Linked DNA regions of Mytilus edulis. The main gene of each other region encodes a partner of the protein of the gene in region 2 in a complex. Links are inferred from orthologs where the notes say so. Each region holds a gene or a part of one and is shown on either strand. Other genes may lie near its edges.

What was found. The genes of interacting proteins can lie anywhere in the genome.
Region 1: U5 small nuclear ribonucleoprotein 40 kDa protein-like (region 2) and ubiquitin carboxyl-terminal hydrolase 39-like share a complex: the UniProt entries of both Homo sapiens proteins name them as parts of the U4/U6-U5 tri-snRNP complex. The link is inferred for Mytilus edulis from reciprocal best matches to the Homo sapiens genes SNRNP40 and USP39.

What each region holds. Positions count from the first base shown.
Region 1 is NC_092352.1:16,013,276-16,017,035, forward strand, and holds the start of ubiquitin carboxyl-terminal hydrolase 39-like, read right to left. Parts: upstream 2,725-3,760; 5' UTR 2,688-2,724; coding exon 2,081-2,687; intron 1,440-2,080; coding exon 1,376-1,439; intron 882-1,375; coding exon 787-881; intron 1-786.
Region 2 is NC_092355.1:11,840,360-11,844,119, forward strand, and holds the start of U5 small nuclear ribonucleoprotein 40 kDa protein-like, read right to left. Parts: upstream 2,685-3,760; 5' UTR 2,586-2,684; coding exon 2,481-2,585; intron 1-2,480. UniProt on the Homo sapiens protein: Required for pre-mRNA splicing as component of the activated spliceosome. Component of the U5 small nuclear ribonucleoprotein (snRNP) complex and the U4/U6-U5 tri-snRNP complex, building blocks of the spliceosome.

The DNA.
Region 1 (3,760 bases), on a different chromosome or scaffold from region 2:
AACGGCAAATAGCGTAAAATTGCGGCTTTTATTGGGACAATATTTATGTATCCTGAAAGATACACTCGCCCTGCGCATCGTGTATCCTCAAGGATACATCCGCCCTGCGCATTGTGTATCCTCAAGGATACACTCGCCGCGAAAGGGTTAAAATTAGAAAGATCATATCATAGGGAACATGTGTACCAAGTTTGAAGTCGATTGGACTTCAACTTCATCAAAAACTACCTCGACCAAAAACTTTAACCTGAAGCGGGACAGACGGACGGACGGACGCACAGACCAGAAAACATAATGCCCCTCTACTATCGTAGGTGGGGCATAAAAATGAAATTGGTATTGCGCGTTCCTTCCTATTTTATACTAGACTGATAAATATATATTTTACTCAAAGTTTCATACAAACGAGACCGGAAAAAGGAAGTACATTGTACATTTCCGCGCAGGTCCGGGATTTCAAAACACGACAAAAAAAATTTGAACGATTTTGAGTTCATTAGTACAATGAAAAATTCGGGAAATTTTCCCGAATTTTTTTTTTAATTGAATTTTCTACTGTTATTGGGGACTTCGTCCCCATATAAATTTGCAATGAAAATTAGAGTAGACTCGACTTTTAACTAAACTATATATTCTGGAAAATGATAATGAATCCCCTCTACTACAGACTTCTGTGCAAGAACTGAAACTGGTAATTTAAATCTCATATGCAATAGTAAAGGTTCTAAATGCTATTACAGTATATATATTATGAATTTATGATAAATAATAGTGTGTTAAACTTACCTTGGAAATATTTTCCACATACTAAGCATGCATACACATTGATGTGGGACAAGGACACAGAACATAACTTCTCAAAGTCAAAATCAAGAACAGATCTAAAACAAAAAATTTATCAATATAAACCTGTAGTGTTAAAATCTTGTAAGTATAAATTATGCTTCTCATTCATTACTACTATTTTTTTCCCCTTCTAAACAATTCAATTTTGAAATAGTTGTTCAATAATTCATAAACAACTACTGCTGAGTCTGTCTTTCAACACATCTCCAGAGTCAAACAATGAACATGAAAATCAATCAAAGAACTTGAAAAGTATACCATTATTACCCTTGTCCAACAGTGAACATATAAATGGTTTCTGGACAGCATTCAACCAAAAACATTAAAATTTGAAATCAATAAGTTACAGTACATTGTAAATTTTTACAAACATGACCAATACTTCAATTAAAATCAGCAAAATGATGAATTTTGTATAGATTTTTTTATTGAAGATAAATCACCTGAATATTTTGATTGTTGTTTTTTTTCTTGCCACTTCTAGACATAAAATATTGTTTATGGAAAGTAGAATAATATTTGTTCTTACCTATTAATAGTGTCCAAATAAGGACAGATTCTGCTTCTGTCAACTTTAGGGTCCTGTATTGCCGCTACAATATATATGTTTATCATAATTATCTATCTATAAATCATGCAGAGTAAAGCAACCAACAATCAATCAATCTTTCTATAAACATGTGTGACAGGGGGACATTAATTTTTATTTACAATGGAGTGCTACAATGTAACAGAAAGAGCAAATTTACCTGTGTGTAATGTGAGTAATCTTTAATGTTTCCTGATCTTTTAAGTACATTAATTTGTTGTTAAGATAAAAAAATTTGACATCAATCATGAAAAATTAGTTATACCACTGATACATAACTTTCAATTCGTCATGCTTTGCATTGGCAATAGCCAATTTTGTCCGGTATGGAACCAGTCTACGATTGACAAAGGGAAGTAATTTGTTTAAAAAGTGTGCAATAACAGAATCAAATCGGTAATTGGCAAATGGACTATTGAATTCATTCATTGGCAACTCAAGCAATGTCTAACTTGGGTTTAAGTTCAATAACTTTTTCACTTTACAACAGAAATAAAATGACTAAGGGTCAGAGTTCGAAAGCAGGGTGGGTTGAGTAACCGTAAACAGACAATTTTTTGGGAGCCTTATGAGGATGTTATGAAACCCCTTACCATATATATATCATTTTTTAAGTTTTACCAATAAAAGACCTTTTTAATATACCTATTTCCTCATCTTCTTCTTCAATCTTCACTGTTGTCTTTTTACTTGTACTTTTTATTGGTGACTGCTTTTTATCTGCTGATGATTTGGATTCTGTACCCTTTCCTTTTTTCACCTTCTCTTTCTCCTTCTTTTCACTCTTTTTGTCAGATTTTCCAGATTTTTCAGCAGCAGTTATCTCTTTTTTTACTTCTTTTCTTGATTTTTCACTGCCTACAGCTTTATCTGGACTTATTCCACTTTTAGCAACATCTGAAGGGTCTTCGTTTCTTTTAGGTTGGATTACATCAGACTGTCTATTGTCTGAAATTGGCTTGTTTTTTTGTTGACTAGGAGATTTTTCAACCTTAGATGACGAGTCTGTTAGTTTCTGGTCACTGACAACTGTCACCTGGCTGGCAATACGAGATCCCGATTTTTGTGTAGGCTCTTGTTGTGCCTTTGAATGCTCTTCGACAGATGAATCGAGTTTTGGCTTTTTATTTTTTTTAAGAATTGATTTCATGGGGTTGTCATCGTCTTCTTGGACAGTTTCTGGTACATGAGTACGCTTTAATATCGCTCTTGATGAACTTTTTAATTTCGTGCTCAGTTCGTTCGCCGCCATGCCGATATGTGGATGTGAAGTACGTCATTGCATTTGTATAATTCTGATAATTAGTAAACCAATTCCGGAATTTATGAACCGGATTTTGCCTTGTATTAGTTCTCGATTAACAATATAATTATATTGGATTTATTTCCAAGTGCTCCAATATTGGAGGGATTTACGTAAGAAGAAGAAGAAGAATTAGCGATAAAGTGTCAAAATAACTAAATATGGTAAACTGTTTACTTATTGTAAAGAAAACATCAAATACGAATAAAAGTTAAATATGTAAAAAAAGAAAAAAGTGGAACAAAATATATATATAGACATAGAAATTGCCAATGTTTCTAATAACATCACTCAGAAAATCAAAGTTGAAAAGAAAAGAAACATCAAGTTTATTAGATGCTATAATTGTCAGTGTCTTGGCCATCCTGCTAACCAGTGCCAGGACAAAAAACATTGTCACAACTGTGGATCAAATTCCTGCTCAGAAACTTTCTGTACAAAGCCAGCTACCTGTAGAAACTGTCAACAAAATCATAAATCGTCATCATCTCACTGTCCAGCCTTCATCAGATTTATCAACCAACATAAATTTAAAAACTGTATCTAACCATATATATATATTCAACATGAAAATCCTTTTCCTTAATACTCAATCTTTTAAAACAGCAACTGGACTCAAAGAAATTTGTGAAAAATATAATGTTGACATCTTATGTATTAATGAATCCTTTGAATCTGAAAAAAATCCACTCTCATTTGGTTATTGGAAACCAATAACATCACCTAGACCAAATAAAGCAAGGGGAGGATCTGCAATATTTTTAAAGCCAAGCAATCATTTCATAGGACAAAGACAGGAACATTTGGAACTAAAAGACATTGAAATGGTCAGTATCGAGGTAAAAGACAGCAAAAACAAAACATTTCATCCGTACATCCCACCAGAAAAACCAGAGTTAATGAAAAAGCTTTGTACACATATTGAACAACAAAATTTAAACAATTTAATATTGGTAGGTGATCTAAATGCTAAATCCTTCGAATGGAACAATGCAGTTGAAAATAAACATGGAGAATTACTA
Region 2 (3,760 bases):
AGTATGACTTTTGCTCTTGACTTCATCTTTTGTTAATTATGATGATTTATCCCATGTAAATTTAAACTATTCATGAAAGTATCAAGTTATTATTTTGTTACATGTACATGATGTACAATTTAAAAATGAAAGCTACATCTTCTTGAATTAAATACAAAATGTAGGATGTACATGTATGAGTACATCAAGAAGTAAAAAAAAAACAACAAAAAAAATAAATTAATAAAAGTAAAATTAAACCTTATGGTTTCACATAATCTTATACCTAGTCCCTAGCCTCACCGGACACAGTTACGAACGATTTTTGAATTTAAATTTTTTTTTTCTTTGTAGCATACTTTTCGTGAATTGTTTGTACCATAGAATTAAAGATGTATGAAGGCTTTCATTTTGAGTCATAACACACATAATTTTCTATTTACGTTTGGATACTTTAGTAAGATTTGCATGACCTGGTTTTATGGGTCTAGCAAGCCCAATATGGACGCAATTATGAAGGGCACTATATTTATATATAGATCTGGCAACCGATCTAAATTAATGAAACCTACATTAATCTTATCTTAAACACATTTCCTAAGAAAATAAGAAGTGTAATATGGTATTTTACTTCAAATTCTTCAGCAGTAGTTGCAGACAAAATTAGTGACAAAAAAAAATCTTTAAAAAGGAAATACAATGTATTTTGGATTTTTTTGTTTTTATGAAAGTTGTTTCGTCTAAGATGCACTGAATTCTCCTTTTAGTTAGTGAACCTATGATTTTAATTTATATTTAACCATTACTTTCAGAGTTCTCCGGACTTTTTATTAAAAATACTATTTTCTTCTGACAATGCCCTGGCCCCAGGGTCATGAGAGTCTGAGAAAACGTTCATTTTTGGATTATTTGGACAAGATTAAGAACATCACGCATATGAACAGATTCAGGAGATATTTTTCTATCTATATTAAGACAAAAGAAGGCAATTTGCACTAGCTAGTGTGCTTTATTCATGCAATTTCTAAGAGAGGGAGTAATTATTTTGACATTTAAGAAATTGAATTTTTCATCGTCTGCAACATTAACCAATTGCACATGAACTTTTTTTTCATGAAAACACAAGTAATGTAGTGGATTTTTTATTAATAGAATCATTTATCAATTATCATGCATAAATATTAATATCAGGGGCCAAACATTAAAAATCGTGTCCAGTCGTAATTGCGTCCAGTAAGGCTAAATAATTTGGACACCATACAGCAGATTTGCCCTAGCTTGTCTGGCGCAAAGGAGAAAATCTGCACCTTGCGACAAATTTTTTGTGCTACATTTTTAATAAAGATTTATTTAAAGTCGGTTATACATACATGTATAACAATTAAAATATTAATAGGCCTTAAGATTGAGGACCTCAGCATGCTCAGAGTAATCTGGGACTAGAATATACTATGCATGGGTCAATAGCTAGGGTAACCCTTTAGAAGGGTTAGAACTTAAATATAAAACTTTTTTAAAAAGCCGGTTTATTGGACGACAGAAATTATACCTTTATACCTTTATCTTCGGGTCGTTACATAAGCCAAAGGCTTCTACTGACCCCTCATCTTGGATTGTCGTATATGATTTCTCATCTCATTATAATATATTTATATATAATAAGACTCTCTACATTTTATGTTTTTATCATAACGACCCTGCATACCCTCGGGTATCCACTTTATGGACTCTACCGTACTACAGACTCACCAGGCGTTGGTTCACTTTCGTTTGTAATTGATTTATATATAATATATTAAACTTATCAAAAAATACTTATTTAGGTGTGCGCAGCTGAAACACTTAACACGAACATATGAATTTATATAGGTTCCAATTTACGCCATTTAATGCAGACTTAAAACTATTCAGAGTCTTTGCCGTCACCGTTAAATCTGACAGGTTATTCCACTGATCCACTACTCTAATTGAAAAAGTATTTAGTCTATGTGTGGTCTTACACTGTTTTTTTAAAAAGTTTTAATGAGTGACCTCTAGTATTATTAGATGGTGCTAAAGTAAATAGGCTCATCCAGTCGATGTCATCTATACCATGCAACGCTTTGTAGACTTGTATCATATCATTCCTATCCCTACGATATTCCAAAGTTGGCAAACCCAATGAACGTAACCTGTCTTCATAATTAAGATGACAATTATTTTTTAACAGCTTTGTGGCCCTTCTTTGTACAGATTCCAATTTGCGAATGTCTTTTTTAAGATACGGTGACCAGACGCATGTCGCATATTCTAGCAGTGGACGAACTATTGATTTATAAATAGTAAGAAACATATCTTGATCCATGTAATCAAAAGAATGATTGATAAGAGACAGCACTCTTTGGGCTTTGTTATAAATATCACTTATATGTTTTTCAAATTTCAAATTAGACTCGAAAGTTACTCCCAGATCCTTTTCTTCGTTCACTGTAGATAATGCAATAAAATTTATAGGCAATTACCATCTGCAATACTGATTTTTCTTGAGACCCATAGGCTACCAGATCTGTTCTTGGCTTTTTAAAAGGGACCATGGCACTGTCTCCTGCTTTTCGTTTGATGTCCATTGTTATTTAAACAACGGAGTGGGAAAATGTAAGAGTATTTTTGTTTTCAACAAAATCACGCCGAACAGAAGGAAGTTGTACAGACCACACTAAAAGTTTATTCACAGCCGGAATAGGTTTCCGGGATTTCTCTGCCGCAATTATGAACAACTCGTCCCATTATTAAATCGCCCTAGGCCTACTCGACCAACATATGTCAAACTCGTCCACTTTTTATAAACTCGACCTTATTTAGATGTTTTCTGATTTCACATGATACAGACACTTAAGACAGACAAACCTGCACACTCGACCAAATTATATTAAAAAAAAGAAGAAAAGGATAAATATAGTTCGAAAAGTGTAGATATACAACTTCCATTTTTTAGGATACATTTTAACATTTTATTTCTTGATAATTTATGCATTAAATATTAAGTACGGGGATGAAATTGCCTGTTAAAAAATGGGTGCTAAATCTTTATGATAAGTAGTGATTTGATCCAGTAAAAAAAAGGTCAAAAATTAGTACGTCTAAAGCTATATATATCAAACTGAATTTTAAACCCCTAAACACAGAATTGTCAATATTTTGAGTAAGAGTTGGTAGAACTTTCTATAACTTTGTTATCATTTGTCTACTTAGTAAAACACTACACTGTAACAATCTTATTGAGATAGAGCAGGTTCGATTTTTTTAATTTGAATTTATTGTCTAAAAGAAGTGCACTACGGAATATCTGTGTTCTCGGGCCATTTTAAGTACCGCTGAAACAAAATCTAACAAATCACCCAAACTATGACATCATCTGCAGATAATATGAATAAGAATAGATAACAAAGCATATCATAATATACAGCTGAAACAAGAACTGTCTATCATAATGAGCTGCGCCATCTGCGCATGATGCACCTGTCACTATTTTAGCTCTTCGAACAAGGTTTCATAAATCAGCTATGTCAAATCAGACCAATAAATCTCCAAAGTTTTATGGAAACTGTTTTCAGTTATTGTCCGGTAGCTGGAAAGTTCCCCCTTTTTTATGAATAAAGTTCAAATACTCCAAAACGTTAATTCAGATTCGTTTTTAAAATCGAACGAGAAAATTGTGTCAATTATATGTATATGTATATACTAAAGTATAAACGATTCTCTAAGTTTCGTGAAAATTGCTCAAAGCATTTTTGACTTATAG